Linked DNA regions of Kluyveromyces lactis. The protein of the gene in region 5 interacts with the protein of the main gene of each other region in a biochemical or structural test. Links are inferred from orthologs where the notes say so. Each region holds a gene or a part of one and is shown on either strand. Other genes may lie near its edges.

Region 1 (2,840 bases), on a different chromosome or scaffold from region 5:
TCTGACGCATTAGATTCTGCATTTATCCCCGGTATGGCTAAAGAATTAACTTTAACGGTATTACAAGAACTAAGGAAAAGAGGTAAAATCAAGGTTGCATTATACGGTAGAGACGAAAGTTCTCTAGAACCACTACTCAACTGGTGCTTGAAGGGAATAGAAGATGTTAGAAGTGCACCAATTGTTGCAGACTGGATTGCGGTTGTAATTGAACTCTACGGTAGTGTACTGGAGAAGTCCCCAGTACTTGAAGAGATGGTAATCACTCTAAAGAAAAGAGTAAGGGAAGAGATCCGCAAAGCAAAAGAAGCACAAAAGATAGAGGGTATGCTCCAATTGTTAACAAACTGATAAAATCCTTTCTACACTGATCTATAACAAAAAGGAATGCGTGTAAAAGATTATATTTATTTACATTTATAGTACATAGACTGCAACAACTGTATCATCCCGTTCGTTACGTCTGTTTCTTTGTTTTTAACGTTCTGACTTTGAAGAAATCACCTTCTTCCTCTCCATTTACTGGCTCTGTTTCTTCCTGCCTTTGTTGGAAGATTCAAACGCTTGAAGTTGTTGCTAACAAGGTTGTATTTACTCTTACGTTGCTTCTTCTTTACGGGTGGATTGGATTGTTGTTCAGAGTCAGACTCACTTTCTTCCACTTCTTTACCCAGCATTTTATTGTACTCACGTTCCTTCAACTTTGCTAGCTGTTCATGAACATTTTTGTCTGGAATGTTGGTCGACTTCTCGTTTAATGCTGCTGGTCTCATCTTCGCTTTTGTTCTTTTCTTTATGGTTTTAACTTTCCGCACATAATTGCTCTCAGTTTCATTGCCGACAGTTCCCTCGTCCCCCTCTTCAATTATATCCATATGTTCTTCCTGCATCAGCTTTTCCATAAGCGTTCTAATCGCAGTGAATTCGCTGAAATCTTCTGGGTTAGATTCGAATTCGTCTTTTATAATGGCATGTTCCTTCGCTAATTGGGACAGTGTCTTCACCGGCCTTTTAATCAGCGGCGATGGGCTGAAGGGAGAACTTTTCAAATCCAGGGTTCTACCAAGCGTCTTTGGTGTTTCTGACAACTGCAATCCAATATCGCCGATCCGCATTGGGGAGTTTGGTCCATATTTCGGTCTTGACACAACAATATTCGCAGATAGATTTGGAACTTGCTTCATTGGAGAAGAGTTCGGCGTTATTGAGAAGTTCAATTGGCGCCTTACCAGGTCATTTGATCTTACTGGCGAGCCAACTATATCTTCTTGATCCGACTGGTGAGTTTTCATGGCAGACACTTGCATCTCAAATATACTAACTAATTTCCCATTCATTTGAGGAGTCGGTCCGAATTCAGCCTTTGTGTTATTCACATGCGACTTCACTGGTGTTTGCTCTACGTTAACCTCCACCGATGGTTTAACAGTAGCATCCTTCTTGAGCTGTGCATACTGTTTATACTTTCTCTTGACCTCTTTATCCTTTTTTATATCATCTTTCTCAGGAAGCCTTCCATGCTCTTTCTCGAAAGCACGCTCCCACAGCTTGATCTCAATCTTAAGAGCATCCATACTAGCGCTTGATATCACGAGTAACAACGGTGCATTTACTGTATCTGTCTCTTTTATTCCATTCATAAAGGTCGTTAGAATAAAGGCAAAGAACGAAATTAAAACGCGTAAATTATTGAAGTTTCCCATGAAGAAGAATAAAGAGAAATGAGCTGCAAAAGATTCACGATCACAGGTCAATCAGGGCACATGAGATGGAATGTTTGATACCAAGCTGTTCCTCAGTTTACCAATCGATATACGGTATACTGTTTACTTCTTTTTGGGCGACGTTGTGCAAAATGTAAGACCACCTGCTAAATCAGATATCTTTAACGATGAGCTTATTGCCTATCCTAATATAAGGGAGTTCAATCAATCTCTGGTGGATAAGTACTCTAAACATATTGGTGTATATGACTATATACCAAATTTCATTCCCAATTGGTGCCGAGACTTCGATTTGCTTCGACATGACATAATACTTACTGATCGACTGCGGGTTTGTTTACAATATGAGGAACAATGGTTTAGTGTCCAATGGATCGTAGTGTCAGGTGAGCTTGAAATAGGAATATTCACTACAGATGAGCAGTTTCTACAGGTGAGTTATACCATTAACGAGTATTGCCATCTTTTGAGTATTGCACAACAAGATTTGAGGTTAGGAATTAACGTCAGTGATATCAATGATGTCAATGAATTATGCAAAGAGATACAACACCGCTGGCTATTTGATACAGTTTCATATATTAGTTTCATCAATTGCTGGGATTTAGATCATGAGAACGTCGTTTCTATCATTCCATGCATGGAGTCGTTCAATAACTTGCACATGCTTCGCATTGAATCGAAGAACATGTTTAATAACCTGATTAATACTCAAGGAGTTCGAGAGAACCCTGGTAAGACAATAGTATACAATGTCCGACAAAATATATTCGAATTAGAGCTGTATACGTTGAGGGATTTGGGGTACAAATCTGTTGTTGATTTACAAAAATGGGAACAACTTCAATGTCTTTCCTTATCAGGTTGCGAATTCATAGACCTCAATAACCTTATTTTACCACAACATTGCAAGATGTTGATATTAAAAGAAGTGAAGTATATCATATGGTGGGACCTGTCTCATCTGTTGAAACGAATCAGGCCTCAATGGATTATAAATGGTCAGGTGAAAAAACCCACGAAGAAAGAAGAAGAAGAGGAATCAGAATGGTATAACCTTTATTTAGAAGTGGTACAAACATACCAACCTCTGAATTTCATAGAACTGCACAACGC
Region 2 (2,875 bases), on a different chromosome or scaffold from region 5:
GCTCAATCTCATTTTCAAAGGTATAGTAGAATAAAACGCTTGCAGTAATGAGCAAAAGCAGGATTGATCGGCATTTCCTCCATGTATGGAGGAGTAACCTTAGAAACATAGTCCTCTCCTATGTGTTAATGTTCCTGTGAGATCGTAGGTCTAGCTAATGGGATAGACATGAAGTAGTTTATAACTTATCTATTTCGTGAATCCAATATCGTGCTTGTATGTTTTTCTAATTTGAAAACGGATTTTGATCTCATCTCTCAAGGTCACAATAGTCCACTCAAGGACAATAAATCGAGGGAAACTGCCAATGGATTCAAATGAAATTTCTGACAACCGGTATTGTTGTCACCCCGCCGAAGTTTTAAATATGGATACCGAGAAGAAAGTTAGCACACCATCTGTCGAATTGAACGAGATGAAAAGACAGATGTTAGTTCAGAAGAAAGAGATACAAAGATTAAAGCAGGTTCAACATTTTATGGAGCTACAAAGAAACACTACTAGATAGATACCAAGAGTTGCTCTGCCGATATTCTCAGATTACCATCGAATTTGACCATGCGTAGCCACATCTTAGCTAATTTTGGGTTGTCCGTTATGAGAGGCATCCATTTGTACACTTGAATCAGTTGTTCGTCAATTGGTCTCCTATGCAAGAAATTATCGCTTGAAACATTCCCGAACATCCCATTGAATGATTCATTTTTAGTCACCTGAGGCCAATCCTCGTTACTGGGTTTCCCAAACTTATCAAATAAAGTGAGCACAAGTTTTATGTCAGAACATTCGTCGAAATCAATGTCTATCACTTTGCTGCTTTTTGATTTGGATTGTGTTTTATCGTTCCAGAGTTGAGAAATCAACACAGCTAATGCCCAAATATCTATCTCGAATTTGTAATTTGACACGCTAAAGAGAAGCTCTGGTGCTTTGTAAATTGATGTGGAACAATCACAGGTCTTGGCCTCATTATCCAGATTCCTATTGTAACTTATACCGAAGTCCCCTAATACGACTTCATTGTACGAGTTAAGCATGATATTCTGCGGTTTGACATCCCTATGTATAATGCCATTACCGTGTATATAAACTAATCCCTCGATTATTTGTCTTATAATCACTGTCGAGTGATCGAGTGGTATGGTATTTGAATATGTTTTTGTAGAATTATCTAACAAGTACGGATTGTATTTCGCCTTCCAATGTTGGTCCATGAACTGGTTTAAATCGCATTGATACCGTTTGAATTTGAATGTAACATACCTTGGTGAGGTTTCAGAACCGAGCAAGGGTATCACATGCTTATTTGATAGTGTTTTCAAAATTTCTAACTCAGTATGTGCATTATGAGGAGGTCTTTGCAACTCAAGATCTATCCGTTTCACCACAATGTCAGGAAACAATTCTAAATCAGCGCAACCTGTTTGAATCTTAATTGGAGTTGTCATATTTGTCTTGTTTGTCATGTAGCCAATGTAGGTTAGTACGCTATACCCCTAGTCTTGTCAGTGACAAACCCAATGGTTCAGTTTCATGTCCGAAGAGATTAGAACTAATCTATAATTTCCGTTTTATGTCATTAATGTGATAAATGAAGGAAGGACGACAAAAGACAAGGACGACAAAAGACAAGGAAAAGGTGTAGCATTTTGTAGTATCGCAAGGAATCACTATAATTACTAAAATAAAAACACGTATGTTGAAGGTTCTATAATTGTACAAGTAAGTAAGATGTATATATAGATACATAAAAATGGGGAAAGTTTGATCCAACGAAGACAGACATCAATTAACTAAAAGGGAAGAGATGGAAATTCAATTGGTAACAGGTATCCGAGAGAGGGGAAATGAGATATCGTACGAAGGACATGTGTTTATTGTGAGTAGGAGAAAAAAAAAGTAGTCATAATCATAACAGAAAAGAAAACGAGTAGTTACAGTCTTGAATGTAGTTCGTTATGGTGTGCAAATGCATGCAAAGTGGAGTGAAGAGTCTTGAATCGAGAAAGAGCGACTTACAATTAACCTAAGAAGCTTTGGTTGTGACGTAAACTCTGTCATCACAGTCACCTTCTACTTCTTGTTTGATGGCCTCCATCTTTTCGACTTGGATTTCCCAAGTTTGTTTGCTCTTCTTCAAAGATTTGTTGAAAAGTTCTTGATCTGGTTCTCTGTAAGAACCACCCAATCTATCCCATAGGGTAGTGAATTGTCCGTAGTTGTAGTTGAAATATAGATGGTGCACAGTGTGGCAAGCAGCACCGTTAATGACAGGGTCATTAGCCAGATATTCACCGTCGTGGATCATTACAGTCCAGAAGTTAACGAAGGTGAAAAGAATCAAATATGAAATTTTTTGCAATGGGAAAATCATTGGGTAAAGATGGTATGGCACAGATTGCATGTAACCGTCCACTGGGTGGAACGCATGCGACGCATATGGAGTGGTAACCAACCATTTGTGATGAGGCTTGTGCAAAGCCCTGTAAACTCTAGGCCAGTGCAACCATCTATGAACCAAATAAATCAAACAATCGGTGAACATGATGAAAGAGATCACTTCAAACGCAAGTTGACGAATTCCAGCCCATGATTTATAATCGATATCGAGGTAAAGCTTCGAATATCCGTTCAATTCGAACAAGAACCATGGTATAGTCAACAGAACCATCACTGGGATGGCACTGAATGCCTGTTTCATTTCCAACGACATCTGGTTCTTCAAATAACGGGGATGATTGAAAACAGCCTTATCAAAAACGAAAAGGTACGACATCGTAGCGACACTGAAGTACAAAGCCCATCCAAAAATTGTCATCAAGACAAACATCGTTAGCGTTTCTCTAAACAAATTATAACGAGGGAAAATTGATTG
Region 3 (3,371 bases), on a different chromosome or scaffold from region 5:
CTTTAAAGGGTAAGGGGTGGGTATACCTATGATTGCAACATAATGCTGATACTGATGATCCTGAGAGAACTCTTTCTGAGTTTTTGAGCAGGTGAAATATTAAAAGTGAATTGAAGTAAAGGGTTCACTAAGGTCTAAATCCTCATTTTATCTGTTGAATGGAAAACACATTGACACATGTGGGTTGGCTAGATTAATTATTACAATGTTTGTTTTCTATTATGATTAGTATTAGTATAGTTATCGTTTTTTTTTTTTTTTGGGTTTAGTATGCTTTTAGAATGCCTCCCTTTAACGCGCAACATGTACTATTCCACTTCCCAGAAACTAATTGAGTATTGGATCAGATTGATTCCATATCTCTGACCCCGTGATTCGAATTTCTTCTTATAGGAAAAAGTCCCTCGATAACATTTCATATTGGCACTACAATGGCCAATCATACTCAGTAATTAAGGCCGGAAGGATCATGGTTTCTTTAAATGATCGAATCTCGTGATTTATTCTGAATCATGTAGTGTCATTATATCATAGTTGTGGGACATGACTTTCTTTGCCCATTGTCTAGAAATTACCGATGCTTTCATAAATCTTCTCGAAGCGTATTTCTTAAACAATTCATCATGTACAACAGGCTGGACCAAATATTCCATAACCATATTACACACGGGAGCTAGTTCGTCTTTGGTATATCCTCCACTATAGTGTATTAGATTTCCATCCCATTGGCCCTTTCCTAACATCTTTCTCGATAAGAACATAGATGCTGCGGCGCACAATGAGGGTAGAATCCCAATGAATTTGAAGTCAACTATGGATATCTCAAGCAAATATTTCGCCAATGTTCTGGATTGTATATCATAGTCATCTGCCTTAGATATCCTTCTTAGGAAATTCATGGGATTTGGATAATTGAGATTGAACTCTAACGTTTTTAGAATAAATTTCTCTCCTTCTTTGATTTCTTCTTCATCGCATGCACCATCCGTTTCGTAAGCGAAGTGTTTCACACTGGGGCTATACACTTCTTCATATTTCGAAGCGATGAATAAGCACGCTGTTCCTACTAATTGTAGTTTTTCCAGCTGTACTAACTCTTTGCAAAGGAATCTATCCATGATATTCAACGCCAAATATAAGGTTTCCGGCAGTAGGCCAAACTTGTTATGAATCTTTACCATCCAGTTAACTAAAATATCCCTATTTTGCTGAATGTTGGCATGTTTGAATAGTTCGTGTCTGTTAGGCAAAGTCATCATTTCCAATCTGTGCAAATATTCAAAGATATCTGTAACATATTCGCTTACCATGAAGGGATCATTGATATCTTCTTCATCAAGATCTTCCCATTCATATTCTTTACCCTTTTCACATACTTTAAATTTCTTAGGTAACGTTTGTTCAACGACAGTGCTTATTGGTCTCTTTTTCGAATCCTCAACCTGAAGTTGCTTTGCTCTCAATTCGACACTGCTAGCGCTATTGTTAGCATTTTCGTCAATTGGCATAGGCGCAAGGCTGTTTCCGACGTTAACAGCAGGGCATTCATTGCTACTCTTACTTCCACTACTGGCATCATCTGTTGCGTCACTGCCATCGTTGACGTTTTCGTGAAAAGCGTTTGTGGTTTGCATCTTGAAATCAGCTTCATTATCTGAACGCTGAACATTTGGGTTGACGTCGTGAACGCCGTCATTTTCCGTATGCTCACTGCTGTATGTTGATGATGATGGAGCAGACTTTTCAGTATCCAGATGTGAATATCCAATTATTTCTTGTCTTTCATCGATCGTAACATGCTTTTGTGTACCCAGGGATTTGTGATTATGAACTAGATTAGAATCCAGCTCCTCTCTTTCATCAATCTTAGCTAGCGGATTGTAATTCTCCTTATCCTCAGGTACCATTATGTCATCTCTCAATGGTGCCGGTTTTGTGTTCGAATACGAGTTTGCGGTACCCTGGGGAAGATTATTCGTCCTGCTATTCTGCAGTCTTGATTTAGCCTGCCTCAAAACTTTACCGAACGTAGATTCAGTAGTATTAGTAACATTGTTTAACACTGGTCTTCTTAGCATGTTCAAGTTTTTCAAGCTTCTATCATATTTATCCTTTGACATAATGCTTTGACAGAATTGTCTTTAATTTAGTTTCTGTTAAAAAGAAGAGATCGGAAAGAAAGACAATTGCACTTTCTTTAGTACCTGCTTTAGCAATCAACTCAGTCAACTATTCTATTACCAATTTCCCAATGAGTTCTGCAGGAGATCAATAATTAAGAGTTATACCAACAGATCTTGATTCCAGTATAAAAAAACTCTGCGATTCTTTTTAGGAGCAAGACGTAGGATCTCTTGATCAACTTGCTTTCTGCTATCACTGTCTCTACCGATAGCAATGTCTTCACCGCTGGCGATACTCTTGGTAGTATGTTTCCTATCGACTATTGTCAACTATGGACTGGGATTGTTCAAAGCTAAAACCTCTTTATTGAAATAATGAATCTGAAAAGCTTGGATCAGATTCAGATTCGATTTGGAAACTAACCTATTGAGGAAGTAACAAAACAATAATAAAGAAACAGCAAGGGACAACAAACCAGAAAAGTTCAAAAAGAAAAAACAGGCTCACTCCAATCGGAACAATACAAATTCTTCACCAGTTGTATGGAAAGATTCACCGAAAAAGCTTTAAGAACCGTGAGAAGCTTTTGTGATCGTTCGCTTAAAGCCTACTTTTTCTCTATCGTCACTGAGACAGACGCAGCAAAAACTTCTTACTTCTAAGATAAAGAAGAATACCTCACTACAGATGCTTCAACTGTCGGGAGAAGTAGCACAAAAGAAATTTTAAATGTCTACAAAGAACCTCTACGTTGATTTATGGCTTCATAGCAGACGCCCCTCCCCTTCACAGAATCTAATGAGGATTCCCTCAGTCACCGAACGTTGTCGTCATTCTGTAATAATAACCAAAAGAAAAATGTAACCACAAGCATGGAGTACCCAAAGGAATACTGCAATGGAGTATGCGCAGTGATGCCCTATCCCCCCAATCCGCTCAGTTGCTCATATAGTCAGTTGATGCTTCTTTGTCAGAAAGGTAGCACCAAATTACAAAGCGATGAGCTTTTGTGAAAAGTCCATCGGTTTATTTACATTTTTCCTAAAACGTAAATATGCATAGTTGTTTACCTTTTTCCTTATTAGGAAGTGTTCGATCAATAAAGAAATCAGGCCGTAGCATGAGTGCAAACACAGGACCTGGCTCTGGCCCTATTCCTGGCACTGGCTGTTTTTCTCCCTAGCGAAGTTAAGACTATTCATACGCGCGATCGTTGGTGAATTCCAGCTGCAAAATGCTGTTTGTGT
Region 4 (3,010 bases), on a different chromosome or scaffold from region 5:
AAAAAAAAACGATAACTATACTAATACTAATCATAATAGAAAACAAACATTGTAATAATTAATCTAGCCAACCCACATGTGTCAATGTGTTTTCCATTCAACAGATAAAATGAGGATTTAGACCTTAGTGAACCCTTTACTTCAATTCACTTTTAATATTTCACCTGCTCAAAAACTCAGAAAGAGTTCTCTCAGGATCATCAGTATCAGCATTATGTTGCAATCATAGGTATACCCACCCCTTACCCTTTAAAGTATAACCACTTCAAATAATTTACTTCTTATGTACACTTAGCATGTTTCTGAACTAATTTCAATTAATGAATAAGTCATTTTTTAACTATTATTATTAGTTGATTACTCGATTAATTATTTATAAAATGCAATGGATATGATTATGAAGTAAGAACATCTTGAAATGATGGGAATGCGAGACCGCAAAAGTAGCTCGGGGATGTGAATGAGCTTAAGATCCAAAAGAACTCGGAAGTGAAAAATTATCATAGTGAAGTGGAAGATGCAGGTGATGATGAAGCGTAGTCGCTAGGGTTCAGCTCTTCATAAGTACAGTGCTTCAAACACCAATCATGGATTTTGTTCCATGTGCCAATTTTTTTGTATTTGTGAATTAATGCATTAAGTTGTGTTGTTGGCTTAGCAATATCGTTTATCAGAATTTGTGATAACTCTTTTAACTCTATCTCATTATCTTTGAATGAAAAGCATGAATAATAATCCCATAATTCGTCCCATTGGAAGTCTTCATGCACGATTCTTTGTGCAGTGAACATTGCCACGGACGCAATCTTAGAAGGCACTACGTCGATGAAGTGTGGGCACGAAATCATATATCCAATTAAACACTTGCCCAAAGTTCTAGTGATTGAATCGTACTCATCACATCTGGATATTCTTCGTAGAAAATTTAATGGGTTAGGCCATCCGATGTTGTATTCCAGTTTATTCAGAATGACAAACTCGGCCTGTTTGATTTCATCGTTGCTGTAAGCATTATCTGTGATATATGAGTAATTTGATAGCTTAGGAAGATTCACCTCCTCAAACTTGGCGGCAATCAATAAAGACGTGATTGCAATTAATTGTAACTTTGGTAATGTAACTTTGTTAAAAGAAAGATATCTATCCATGAGGTTTATCGAAAGGTACAACGTTTCCGGTAACAGTTGAAACTTACAATGAACCTCTATAATCCAATCAACGAGGATCGATCTCATCGTCGGTCTCAAGTAAAATTCGTAATTTTTATCCTTCAAATAATTGATCTTTGGCGTAGTTTCAAACTGTCTCGTGTAAAGATGGTCAAAAATATCATCCGAATAATCATAACACATCGTTACATCTTCTTTATCCTGGGAGTCCAATTCTTCTCTACGTCTTTCTAAGCTCTCGCATTTCAGTCTCTTATGACTTTTCCTGGGCTCTAGAATATCATCATCTGAACGCACATCTGATTTTTGTTCCTCATCATCATCATCACGGTATATCTGTCTTTTCAACGACACTGAACTCGTTGTCTGTGAAGAGTTCCCATATATCTTATTTTTACCTTCATCGACTTGTGAATTCCTCAATGACCCGACTGAAGATTTCAGTTTATTATCGTGGAGTGGCTGCTCCGATAGCGCGACACGTTTCCTTTGGTGTGAAGACTTCTCCATTGCTTCTGCGTCACTAACACTCCAGCTGCTCCTGGTTCTCGGTCTCATCTTAAAATCTATACTCTATCGTTCTGTCTCCTAGTATGTGGTAAACATATATGCTGTATATATATATATGAAAACAGTTTCAACAGGATAGAGAAGAACTTAACCTGTTAGCGGTAACCCAGCCAGCCAATGTCACCAAAATCTTGGACCTGACAGACAACACACAAATCGCGTCTCTTTCTCTTATTGTTCTTTCTTGGCCCTAAAACAACGAGAAAGATACAATATACAGAAAAACACCGAGTAATCGACCGTGCATATCCAGTGGAAACAAACAAAATCTGTTATACACGCTTTCATAGACTAACAGCAGGTCATAAAATTCGTGAAGTTCCTTTGGAAGCTCTAACAGGCCTGTCTTGGTTCAAGGACTTTCCAATTTCGCTTTGTAGATTCGCATCTTCGCAAAGTGCTGACGCGTCAGCACGCCAAAAACGAAATTTGAAAAAAAATTGTTTCGCGTCTTCGCGTTGTCCGGATCTCAATCACGTGACCAAAGTATTCCGGACAAAATGGAAACTGTCAATTTATTTTCACGTGATTTAGACGGGAAAAAAGTCCCGTTTTCTATTTCTGATGAGAGAGAGAGAGAGACTCATTAGTATGCGACATACAGCGATTATCGCTGACTCCTCTTCCTTCGAGCGATTTGCCTGGCATATATCGTACCGGCTTACAAAGTCAGCCCAGTACAGCCAAGGAAAAAAGGCAGACGTTCGCCGAGTTCTATCAGTCTTTCGCTACTATTCCTCTATCTTATCGGTCGGTCTTTCTTAGAACGAACAGATAATGAAAATCTGATATCGCCATACGGCTCCATTGAGATTTATCAGATTAAAGGGCTCGAAGAGACAAAAGGTACACCGTTCCATAGTTAGATTATATAGTACGAGAAACCTACCGTAGGTATATAAGTAAGGTTACAACCGATTTTTGGGGGGTTTTGTCCAAGATATAACATCATTTTCTTTTGTATTCATCTGATTATTAGGAAGAACACTATCTATTAACTAGATAAAAAGCAGCGCAAGGAATATGGAAGGGTTCAAGTCTAAGTGGGAAAAATTTAAGAGATACGTTTCTGGGAGTCCAGTTGAAGGTGAGAAATACGATGAGGCTCCTAAGGTCGAGGATTTGCCTCATATGGTCGATGCAGACGGTGCTCTTGTTGCAGTTTCTTCCGGGAAACACGATTTGTCCCCGGTGATGTCTGCCAAGTACAATATTCAACCTGGGAAATCCAATAATGGTTTGGCTGAAAACAAGGCCATTGACGATACTAT
Region 5 (2,741 bases):
GGGGGATGTGAATAGAGAGAGAGAAGGTATGGGTTGAGTTGAGAGACATTACGTCAATTGAGCTGTCTCTTACCAGGCCTCGTCTTTAATTTCTTCAGGGATTCGGTCGGAATAATGGACAGACATATTAGCGATAGAGAGGGGATGTCGAGGATAGGTGACTAGGTAGATTTGCGTTCAGCCAAACTAGCAATGGCGTAACGTTAACGAAGAGCCCCAGGCCTAGGGGAGGGGGGCGGGTTTCAATTTGCTTCGGTTTTTCTTGCTCTTAGTTCTTTCTTTTTGGGCGCATTGCTGTGGCACAGGCAAGGAAATCAAGGCCCGTTTTTTTTTTGTTTTTGTGGTATGTTTGCAGCATCTCTCGAAGGGCTGTTGGATGGGACAAAAAGAAATGGAATGTGGAGTTCCGGGTAATATAAGTCACGTGAATACACGTGACTGGTATTGTTTTTATTATATATCATATACATGAATATACGCGCCTCCTGTCACCAACACTCTCACTCCTCCTTGAAGTACGGGTGTTGTACTGCTCTTTTGGCGCTAATGCGGTGGATTGGATCGTAGGTGATCAATTTGTCCAAGAGATCGATACCGTTTGCATCTAGCGATGGAATTACCTCGGATAAATTACGACGGTTCCATTTAGGGAATGTAGTCTTGAAATCCGGTAGATAAATAATATCCGGCCATGTTCTCTCGTTTGGTGTGCCTAACACTCGGAATATCTTGAAGATCTGATCAATTTCACTGTCTCCGCTGAATAACGGTTTCCTGTTGCACATCTCGGCAAATATACAGCCAATGGACCATACATCGACCCCTGTACTGTACTGTTTCCCACCTAATAACACTTCTGGTGCCCTATACCATAAAGTGACGATCTCATGGGTGTACGCTCTCAAGGGGACACCGAATGCACGTGCAAGGCCGAAATCTCCCAACTTCAAGTTCCCATCTCTGTTGATCAATAGATTCTGCGGCTTCAAATCACGATGTATGATCCTATGAGCATGGCAATAAGCAATTCCCTTGCACAATTGCATCATAAACTTCTTTATAATGTTGCCTCCCAATGGCTGGTCCTTGGGGATCGATTCCATGTATCTTTTCAAATCAAGATCCAAAAATTCGAACACTAGATATAACTTGTGCGCGTCCGAGTGCACGATGTCATATAATCTGACAATGTTGTCATCCTTCAGTTCCTTCAATAATGAAATCTCACGTATCGCAGTACTGGGAACACCTTCGTCTTCAGATTCTAATCTGATCTTTTTCATTGCTACCACTCGATTCTGGTGACGCAAATCAACCGCTTTGTAAACAACACCATAAGTACCTTCTCCGACTTTCTCAAGTCTCTTGTAGTTTGTTAATTCGGACATCCTGGTATAGGGTGGATTTCTTGTATGATGCGACCTTGCTGTTCTGTTTCTTTACTACTTTCAAGTTTTAGGTAGGTACAGATTGTTCTCTTTTGCAGCAGTATATTCAGATCAAGTAAAATTTGCTGTGCTCGCGTATAAATATGCGTCAAATCAAATAATCAACTATCACTCAGTGCTTATGGCTCTAATATTACCCTGGTATGTGCCTTCTTTCTAACAGATTAACGTTGCCTTAATACTATATTAATATCTTCGAAATTGTGTTTGTATTTTCTTCGTTTTAAGGTCAGAAGGTCAATAATGAGCTTTACGTGTAATTGAAAAGAAAGAAAGGTTTGGAATTGTAAGATGAACGCAGGGATTTTGTAACGTATAGGGCATTGCTGAACGGTTTTTTCAGTATACTTTCATGTTACAGAATATTTAACACAGAAACTTACAAAATTTATACACTTCTACAGGTTCCAATAATTATGGTTTCTTTGTCAGGATATCGCACAATAATCAAACGTTACTACAACAAATCTATTTAAACCTGCTCCTTATATCAAAACAAACTAATATTTTGGAGACAACTCTTTTTATTGCTTCTTGGCTTGTCTTTCAGCCTTTTTCAAAGCTCTCTTTCTGATACTCAAGTGGAAGGAATAATTAATTGAATTAGCAATCTTAGAGTACACACCGACGGTGTTCTCGATAATGAAATGGTATAATGCATGAGACCAATACGGCGTGGAGGTTGCAAAACGCTCTTGGGCACCACAGCGTTTGCCAATGGAGTTCAATGTGGATCTCACGAAAGCCTTTGGAGAAGGGATCAATGCACTTGATCTTCTAATCTTAGACATTGCACTGGTAACTAAGTAAGATAACACTAACTCAACATCGATAGAATCGCTAGATAATTCACCAGCTAGGGCGTTAGACCAACTTTGTAAAAATGCCTTGGAACCACTGTATGTAGCTAAGAATGGGGTAGGTAGCAGACCACCAAAGGAACCCATTGTCAAGATTAGACCACGACATTTCAACGTCTTAACGCTTGCTTTTAATTGTGGTAACAAAGTTTGTGTGATCATTAATGTCGCAGTATTGTTGATAGTAATTATATCTCTCAATTCAGATTCTTCGGTTTGATCAAATGGTACTGGAATCGAATGAGACTTACCAACATTATTGATCAAAACAGTTACAGGTAAACCCGACGCAACTTCTCTAATTAAAGTATAGTTCTCCTTGCTATCAGAACTGACATCAATGGCTAAAATTTTAACGTCAATCTTGCATTCAGTCTCGATTTCCTTCTTCAATTCAACTAGCTTCGATTCAGTTCTACTGATCAAAATTAGG
Region 6 (3,960 bases), on a different chromosome or scaffold from region 5:
CGTCAGATTTGGTGCTAGGTCCATCGGTAGGTTCATGAATACCCATTAAATGATGACGCAACTTATGAACGCCCTTTCCGGAAAATACACAGAATATCTGCCTTTGATTAGCGGTAAATTCACTGGGGGGAGAACGACAAAACTGCGTGATATCGGGACGAAGAAAAGATGGAACTGCAGTTAGCGATAAGTGCGATAACTTGGGGCATGCCATCAACAATTCATATATAGGATAGATCGTTAGACTGGTACAGTAAGATAGATGGACTCTCTCTAACGTGTCATTCCTTCCGCGAATGCTTATCATTGTTAAAAGTCCCTCATCTGTAATCTGAGAGCACTTAACCATACCTATTCTTTTAAGTTTGGGCAACTCAGCGAGTTCGTAAAGGGTTTTGTTTGTCAAATTGGTGCAACAAGCAAAATCGATATATTGAATCTTGGGGCAATTGCTTACTAAAACCCTGACACCTTCATCTGAAATATTGAAACAGTGACCAAAATGCATTGTCTGTATATTTTTTCCCAATCTTGCCAACGACTTTAGAGCGGAATCTGTGATACGGCTGCATTTCCCCAAAAATAAGTTTCTTAGCTTGGGTGCTAAAGTAACAAGTTTATCAATTGTCTTGTCCGTGATGTTTTCGCAACCAGAGAAGTCGACTAGTCTTAATGCAGGTAATCCCATGGTTTCCTGAGAAACCGCCAACATAAACTCATCGGTGATGTTCGTGTTATGCGTGACTCTGATTTCTCTTAATTGAGGTAAAGAGGTGAATAGCGTAACCAAGCCATGATTATCAATATTCGGTGTTGACGTTAAATCCACCTCTACGAGAAATGGACAACATTTGACCATTTTCATCACCAAATCATTTTCAATAGATTGATTAAAAGTTATTTTGACACGTTTTAACATCGGCGCGTGAGTGATAAAATTCGAGATAGCATTAGGTGAGACATCGTTTGAATGAGGAACATAAAGTCCCTGAATCCTCTCACAATCCGATGCTAATACTTCAAACAAATCATCTCTAATGTGATGAATACCAGTTATGTCGACACTTTGTAAATATTGACAACCCTTTAAAACTTTTGCCACAGATTTGGTTGTAATATATTTACAGAAAACCAAAGTAAGTCTTTCAAGGTTAGGACACCCAATGAAATGTTCTAGTTTTCTATCTGTCATATAGTCACCAACGAATGAAAAATTTAAACGTTTTATCAAGCTCCTGTAATCAAATAGCGTCTCTTCCTTAGGCTTGCTCATGGTAATCAAAAAAGAATTCAATTGCTGCTGTTTATTGATATGGGGACGATAATATATGAGTTTTGCAATGACTTCAGCCCAAGCCTTAGAAACAGCCATTAAGGGAACAATATTGGCTTTTTGACTTTTTGCTTCTAAAACCATTGCTAGGATTTCATGAGGAAGATCAGATAACGGGAAAGTGTTCTTTGGTGTTTTGATTCTGGTATATAATGCATTATCTTTAGAAACCATTGAGAGCATCTGGGGCAACTGGCTTCTCACGTGATTAGACATAAACTTCCATTCCTCTTCTGAGACATGCATATCATATAAAGCCAAGTCCAATCCTCTTTTTGTCCAAGGAGAGTATTTCAAAAACAAATCGCGATAGTAATAAATAGGATTTGGTACGTTAGGGTTGGTATTCTTTCTTTTATAGTAGTCATGTATCGATCTCGCCATCCTTTTGATAATTTCCGAATATTTTTCTTGATAGGAATGTAGAGAATAGAGTTCCATTTCGATTGCCCTTAAAATAACTCTTTGCTGTTTCATAATTGTTGATTTTAGATGTTCAACAACTTCCGTCGACAAATTACTCTCCGCTAAAAATGCTGAATAGTTTAGGTCACGAAGTCGCTGGATTCCTAGCTGCAAAGACTCCTTAAGATAGTTTTTTCTTAATTCTATAATACCTAATGCAAATTTAAATCTGTATCTTGAAAGTTCGACAATTTCACTTAATGCTGTAGTGTCTTCTGGTGTAAGTTGGACTTGCTTCAGTAAGAAATCCAACAACGCTTCCTTTTCGGTCCAGTTAGAGCTGTCATCTAATGCTTCTTTTTGCATTTTGAGAACAAAATTCTCAATATTTTGTCTTGCCCTCATATCGATTTTGTGTTTATCAAAATATTCTTGTAATTGTTCAGAATCACCTTCGATCGGTGGTAATTTCCATCCTTCTTTTTCTATGTTTTCAAACAACTGTCTTAAATCATCTTCAATTTGTGCAATGCCACTAAGGGCGGATTTCCGCTCTCTAGCCAAAAATGGTCTTTGGTGTAAAGACAGTTTACTAGGATTCATGGTAGTAAACCAGTCAGCAGGCAGACCAGAAGATACATGAGCACTTTCCCTCGATAAGTTAGCTTCACGAGCAGCTCCCCGCGTCAATTCTTCGAAATGGTCAGCGGTATTATTATCTATATCAGTACTTCTTCTGTTATCTTCGTCAGTTCCTGTAGTATTCAGTATTTCACCGTCGATATTGTTATTACTATTATTATCGTTAGTTCCGTTATTGATCAGTTGATTTGATCTGAAAATATCAGAAAGGGTATCGTTTCCAAGAATGCTAAGATTCCTATTATTAAGAGCCTCCCAATTAAGCTCATTCTCATCCGTCAGCTCATCCACTCTTAACGGAATTGCATCCCTGCTGCCTGTCTGGCCCCTCCTGGCTTGTGCTCTTAAATTCCAAGCAGCGCCAGGACTGACCTGAAACTGCCATTCAGAATTATCGGATGCCGGTTGCTGTGGGTCCATTGTAGCGTAGCAATTTTAAGTATCACTCAAAATAGTACAAATACTTCCTTTTGAGTTTCATCTACTATTGGCTCCACTTAATTGGACCTGTATTTTATCACATAAAACGTTTAATCAGCAAGGAGAGAGCGGTTACCTTTTTTTGTGACATAGAAATTACGCAAAATATACTAAGAAGTATCACAGAAGACGAATACTGTCAAACTAGAGGAAGCTGAGAAGAATAAACTTTGAAGATCGAGGTATATATAATATATTTATGTACATTTAAAAGATGAAAAGGAGAAGTTATATCTATATTATGAGACGAAAGTGTATGAAGTCATCGATCGAGACAGCAGTTTGTGCTGCAAGCTTGTTTTAATAGGTTTTAGGTCGTAAAAATCATCATCCTGGAATAACATAAGTAGGATCAGGAGTCGTTTGCAATAATTGTGTAAGTTTTTGATCATGAAACAGAAGGTGAGAAATAGATGAGAGGGAAGCGAGGGGAGGTTCTTATTATACAGGGATGTTCCCCACAGGATACTTTAGCGTCTTACGTGCCACATTTTCTTTTTTTTTTTAATATTATTAGTATGTAACAATAGCTCGTGAACAAATCAGTGGTTGAACATTCCATCACCAAACTGTCCATTATGATGTCTATTCTGAGAATGGGGGAGTGGTTGACCATTCATTGTTAGTTGCGGCAAGGATATTTGCGTGCCATTATTGAATGTCAGCATATCAAAATTTGACACTAAATCATCATTCAGACCACTGGTTGACGTGGAATACTGATACGGTTGTGAAGCGGGAAACATGCCAGGGTAGGTGTAGTAGCTTGCTTGCCCAGAGATGCCAGAAATGGACGCTTGCTGAGGTTGATGCTGAGGTTGAGATTGGGATTGTTGAGGTAACTGAGCTTGGACCTGAGAAGATTGGATGGGTTGCTGTTGAGATTGTGCGTTCGAGGAGGCTCTTGGTCTAGAAGATGCCGACCTGACACTGTTGACGGAAACAGTCCTCATATGTTGAGGATGGTCATTACCAAAAACATGGGAAATACTCATTCTTGGCTTGGTTTGAGCGGTAGATGGTTGATTGTTTATTGCATTCAAGCCCACTTCTTCCAAGAGTCTGCGATGCTGTGTGATATTAGATTCTGTGGTCAAAAT
Region 7 (4,116 bases), about 400 kb from region 5:
AAAATGCATCCTTTATTATATCTTTCTATCTTATAATTAAATAGTTGAAAAAGCAGTTTCATATTCTACTTAACCGCTACGCTACATGACAACCTAAGTAGCAATTATAATAGCAGCAAAGGCGTCTTGAAGGCATATACTAAAATGTCTTCAACATTTCATCTTCATGCAAGCATTGCTCCGCATCTTCCATGGAAATATTTAATTTGATCGTCGAGAGCCTCTCATTCTTCAAATATTGCCTTACTACAACACCTGCATCCAATAATTGCAATAAAATATAGTCCCAAGACACGGCCCTTAACTGTTCCTTTGTATCAACAGAATCATTTTGGAATAAAATCCGTTTCAACTCTAAAATGTATTTGTTATTCCCATTGACATCAATGAGGAGCCTCATTTCTTCTACGATATCACCAAGTTGTACGTCAGTTTGCTTCTTCTTAATTAAATTGATTAATGCGTATAGGAAAAGTTTTCCGCTAAATGACAGACCAGATATGAATTGTTGTTCCGGAGAGGTCGAACTTTCGTTTAATGCCTTGGTAATATGCTTAATTTCTACACTCTGTAATTCTTCATTTCCTGTACCATTGCCACTAGTATCTTTTTTGGAATTGACTAGTCGCTCATATCTAAGCCTCTTTAAGTAATCATTTTCCGCATATTCTACCGCTCTTTTGACCACCTTTAAAGCTCTCCGCACATCACCACTGACACTAGCAATTTTTCTTGATGCAATCTCAATGGCATCAGGATTAATCCTAAGTTTTAGTCGTTTATAGTTAGAGAAGTCTTTTCGCTTTTCTTCTTCATCAGTTTCTATAGTACTACTATCCGGAGAGATCATGTACGAACTCCCTGTCTCCGGGTCGACATAGAAACTAGATTCGTTCAAATATTTAAGTCTCAAATTGATGATTGTTCTAAGCTCTTCATGCGTGTAACCAGTGAACATAATTCTAGTAAAACCAATTCTGGACGAAATCTTGTTACCAAGATGGCGTTCGGGGAGATCTAAGGTGTTTGCGACAGCTACAACAATAAGTTTCGCATTTGAATAGGTAGCCCAGTTAAAGAAGTTGTACATTACATCTTGGCTCTTGCTAACTAATGCATCAAGCTCATCCAATAACACAACGATAGGACGTTTTTTCGTAGCTGGAACTTTGTTAAAATAAAACTCCAGAGATTCCATGGCAGCTCCAGATGTAAGCTTTTCTCCAGATATTTTTTGCCAAAAGACTTCATAACTATCACTTGCTTTGACAATCTTTAAACCATTGATTTCAATGTATTGGAATCTTGGAAGTTCTTTTTGGTCTGCAGATGTCATTAAATCCTTAACTACCTCTCGAACCGTCAAAGTTTTACCAACGCCTGGCGTCCCGGCAATGTAAATACTGGTGCTAGTGCCTGCTTCAATTGCACTGTAAAGTGAGAGGTATATACTTGCAAATTCATTTTCTCTTGCCGGAAGATAATTGTCGAAATCAGCAGCTTTGACAATTTCTTCTTTGCTATTCCTTGAGTTCAATTGCTTCTTCACCTTAGAAAAAATAGTCTCCATTTTGCCTTTAGCAGAAACTGTTCTGAATCTCTCCTCTAATGCAGCTATATCCAAATCATTATTATGCCTTTGGAAAATATCGTTCAAGTCAGGAATATCCTTCGGATTCTTATACCGTTTGGAAAATGGAGTATATGCCTTTTTAGCGCGCACTATATTATTCTTAAAGAACTTTCTAGGAGATGAATGAACTGCTGATGGCTGCAATGGAGTCTGTGATTTTACTGGTGAAATGGGTATATCTGGTTTAATAGATCTCACCTTTTTCTTGGCAGGTTCTACAATTGCAAGCTCTTCTGCAGACTGGTAATCTTCAAACTCTTCATCACTGTCCGAAGAGGATGCGTTTGCAAACTCTTCTTTACTTTCGTGATATTCAGATAAATCCGATTCATTATCTGATATAGCTTCCTTTTCGTTAACAATAGTAGATGCAATGCGTTGGACTTCAGCGTTGGTTTTGCTCACTGTTTGTTGAAAGCTTTTTTTGCTTGGTGTGTTGTCGGACTGCAATTTCGTCGCCACTACCTTCTCTCGTGCGTGGACCTTGGATTTATTTAAAGGTTTTGGAAGCTTGGGTAAAGTAATATCACGCAAATACTCCAGAGACACCTTAGGATTCGAGGAACGTATTTTTTCTTCAAAGAAATGTATATCTAAATCCGCCAGATTAGTTCCTGAAGGCAAGCATGCAGATCGACATAAAAACATATTAGAATCCATTTTCCCTTCATTGACAGAGTCTAAATACTCCTTTTCATTTTTAATATTAGCTACAAATTGCAAGTCCCGTAGATAAATCTCTGAAAGCTCAGCTGTCAAATACAATTCGTTCTTTATCGATTGTGACGCGAAGGTTTCCTCAAAAAATTTGTCACCTTTTTCCTTATTAGTCTCATAAAACTCTCCATCAAGCTGTTTATATCTTTCCGCAGCATTGATCTCGTACCAACTCAAATAGTTCAAACACCAGAGTTCTACGTAATTGCTTGTATTCAATCGCACCTCATGGATCATATACGCTGATAACTCGTCTGCACCCTCTACCTTGCACACAATCGTAACACCAGGATAAAGTCTGACTCCATCGTATCGTACCAAATTAATCACTTCATGTTCTGTAGCATCTCCTCTTCTTCTTCGCCTAGGAGTTTCAGCAATGAGATTCCCCTTCAAGTCTGTCTTCTGTATTTCCCATTGAACTTCAAACTCAGCTAACGTTGACGCCATGCCTAATAAACTCGCTACCACGGAATAAAAAGGAAAAATAATCAGATAACCGTTAAAATGCAGTAATTCCTTCCTAAACTAGTAGTAGTTACTTGCTGGCCAAGTATGTTGAAATGACAGCTACCTGTTTCCGTAGCATTCTTTTATCTCATAGCATATTGGTTGTTACACGGTTCCTCTGTTTACTGAATTAAGATCGATCTTGAAACATCAAATACGTGTAAAATGATACATAGTTTTCCCATTCCTGACGTCTAATTTTAAACCTTGAACCCTGGCAGAAACAGATCAAGAGATTTATCTCAAGAGTGATGACATGATAAACAGAATGAATTCTGCCAGTCAATTAACGAAGGTGAAGCAGATAAACACAGAAGAATAAAGGCAGCTGGCCTGCTGGAAAAAAAATTGAACAATTTCCCACGTTGATAGAGTCATACATAAGAAGCTTTTAGGAGCTTTATAAAAAGAAATGAGGTTTGGAAGTGTCTTGGCGAGGAATATATCGTTATGGAAATACTTAAAAGTGACCCTAGGACACCTCAACGCATTTGATAAGATGATGTTATGGCTGCGAGTTATAACTTCAGTGGGAATTATCGTTTTTGTCCTTGTTTTGACTGCTATTTCTGCCGCATCACCAAATTCGTTATATTTAGGACGATTGGACACTTCAAATGTTAACATTTTGCAGGGACTATTTGATAAGCTCAGCAGTTCTGTTGTCAGTGCAAAACTGTCTGATATTAATAACGGAGCAGGACTCACAACAGCAGAGATTCTTTTACTCACGCGGTATGTAGACTCACAGGTCCACGACGTGCCCGATTATATAAAGACAGGAGTTTACGGATGGTGCAGCATGAAACATGCTTCTCAAGAATTATGGCAGCCTGACGGTACTTGGAAGGAGGAACATAACTCTACAAAGGCTATGACTTGTCACAGGGAAGGAGCGCAATACTTATTGAACTATAGAAAGCTATTAGATGACCTAGGTTTGGGAATAGTGTTAAGTTACGCATACGGATATACTTACAACGATGGTGTTTTGGATCACGACAATGCAGAAAGTGCAAAATACAACAAATTTTTGGCTGCTTTGTCGAGAAGAAAAGTCAACATGGTCAATCTACTTTACGTCGTGGCAGTATTGGAAGTTTTCATATTGGGATCGATTGTCTTGTACTACATGATCAGGAATAGACCTGAACAAACCATGAAAACCAAAATCCTCCTGCATTCTATATCACTAATGAAACTATTGGTGTTTATTTGCTCTTTAGTAGCAGTCATAAACTTTACTATACTATCAA

The links.
Region 1: of the proteins of CDC28 (region 5) and SLD2, one has a biochemical effect on the other in vitro, tested with the Saccharomyces cerevisiae proteins (4 studies listed by BioGRID). The link is inferred for Kluyveromyces lactis from reciprocal best matches to the Saccharomyces cerevisiae genes CDC28 and SLD2.
Region 2: of the proteins of CDC28 (region 5) and CAK1, one has a biochemical effect on the other in vitro, tested with the Saccharomyces cerevisiae proteins (4 studies listed by BioGRID, with this or other methods). The link is inferred for Kluyveromyces lactis from reciprocal best matches to the Saccharomyces cerevisiae genes CDC28 and CAK1.
Region 3: the proteins of CDC28 (region 5) and KLLA0_D15543g form a complex in vitro, tested with the Saccharomyces cerevisiae proteins (10 studies listed by BioGRID, with this or other methods). The link is inferred for Kluyveromyces lactis from reciprocal best matches to the Saccharomyces cerevisiae genes CDC28 and CLB2.
Region 4: the proteins of CDC28 (region 5) and KLLA0_D15565g form a complex in vitro, tested with the Saccharomyces cerevisiae proteins (7 studies listed by BioGRID). The link is inferred for Kluyveromyces lactis from reciprocal best matches to the Saccharomyces cerevisiae genes CDC28 and CLB5.
Region 6: the proteins of CDC28 (region 5) and GRR1 form a complex in vitro, tested with the Saccharomyces cerevisiae proteins (2 studies listed by BioGRID, with this or other methods). The link is inferred for Kluyveromyces lactis from reciprocal best matches to the Saccharomyces cerevisiae genes CDC28 and GRR1.
Region 7: of the proteins of CDC28 (region 5) and ORC1, one has a biochemical effect on the other in vitro, tested with the Saccharomyces cerevisiae proteins (2 studies listed by BioGRID). The link is inferred for Kluyveromyces lactis from reciprocal best matches to the Saccharomyces cerevisiae genes CDC28 and ORC1.

The regions. Positions count from the first base shown.
Region 1 is NC_006042.1:1,277,744-1,280,583, forward strand, and holds SLD2 (Sld2p), read right to left. Parts: upstream 1,704-2,840; coding exon 501-1,703; downstream 1-500. Other genes in the region: snoRNA-binding rRNA-processing protein UTP15, read left to right, coding at 1-351; CTF13 (Ctf13p), read left to right, coding at 1,774-2,840. UniProt on the Saccharomyces cerevisiae protein: Has a role in the initiation of DNA replication. Required at S-phase checkpoint. Also required for the proper activation of RAD53 in response to DNA damage and replication blocks.
Region 2 is NC_006042.1:823,808-826,682, reverse strand, and holds CAK1 (cyclin-dependent protein kinase-activating kinase CAK1), read right to left. Parts: upstream 1,467-2,875; coding exon 501-1,466; downstream 1-500. Other genes in the region: putative mannosidase MNL2, read right to left, coding at 1-109; ERG3 (C-5 sterol desaturase), read right to left, coding at 2,027-2,875.
Region 3 is NC_006040.1:1,312,509-1,315,879, reverse strand, and holds KLLA0_D15543g (cyclin family protein), read right to left. Parts: upstream 2,121-3,371; coding exon 501-2,120; downstream 1-500. UniProt on the Saccharomyces cerevisiae protein: Essential for the control of the cell cycle at the G2/M (mitosis) transition. Interacts with the CDC2 protein kinase to form MPF. G2/M cyclins accumulate steadily during G2 and are abruptly destroyed at mitosis.
Region 4 is NC_006040.1:1,315,625-1,318,634, forward strand, and holds KLLA0_D15565g (uncharacterized protein), read right to left. Parts: upstream 1,728-3,010; coding exon 501-1,727; downstream 1-500. Other genes in the region: KLLA0_D15576g (uncharacterized protein), read left to right, coding at 2,763-3,010. UniProt on the Saccharomyces cerevisiae protein: Required for efficient progression through S phase and possibly for the normal progression through meiosis. Interacts with CDC28.
Region 5 is NC_006038.1:854,827-857,567, forward strand, and holds CDC28 (cyclin-dependent serine/threonine-protein kinase CDC28), read right to left. Parts: upstream 1,389-2,741; coding exon 501-1,388; downstream 1-500. Other genes in the region: IFA38 (ketoreductase), read right to left, coding at 1,973-2,741. UniProt on the Saccharomyces cerevisiae protein: Cyclin-dependent kinase that acts as a master regulator of the mitotic and meiotic cell cycles. Required to drive the G1-S transition. More than 200 substrates have been identified. Substrate specificity is in part regulated by the bound cyclin protein.
Region 6 is NC_006041.1:544,719-548,678, reverse strand, and holds the start of GRR1 (SCF ubiquitin ligase complex subunit GRR1), read right to left. Parts: upstream 2,801-3,960; coding exon 1-2,800. Other genes in the region: JSN1 (Jsn1p), read right to left, coding at 3,403-3,960. UniProt on the Saccharomyces cerevisiae protein: Substrate recognition component of a SCF (SKP1-CUL1-F-box protein) E3 ubiquitin-protein ligase complex which mediates the ubiquitination and subsequent proteasomal degradation of target proteins.
Region 7 is NC_006038.1:453,401-457,516, reverse strand, and holds ORC1 (origin recognition complex subunit 1), read right to left. Parts: upstream 2,801-4,116; coding exon 140-2,800; downstream 1-139. Other genes in the region: ECM7 (Ecm7p), read left to right, coding at 3,273-4,116. UniProt on the Saccharomyces cerevisiae protein: Component of the origin recognition complex (ORC) that binds origins of replication. It has a role in both chromosomal replication and mating type transcriptional silencing. Binds to the ARS consensus sequence (ACS) of origins of replication.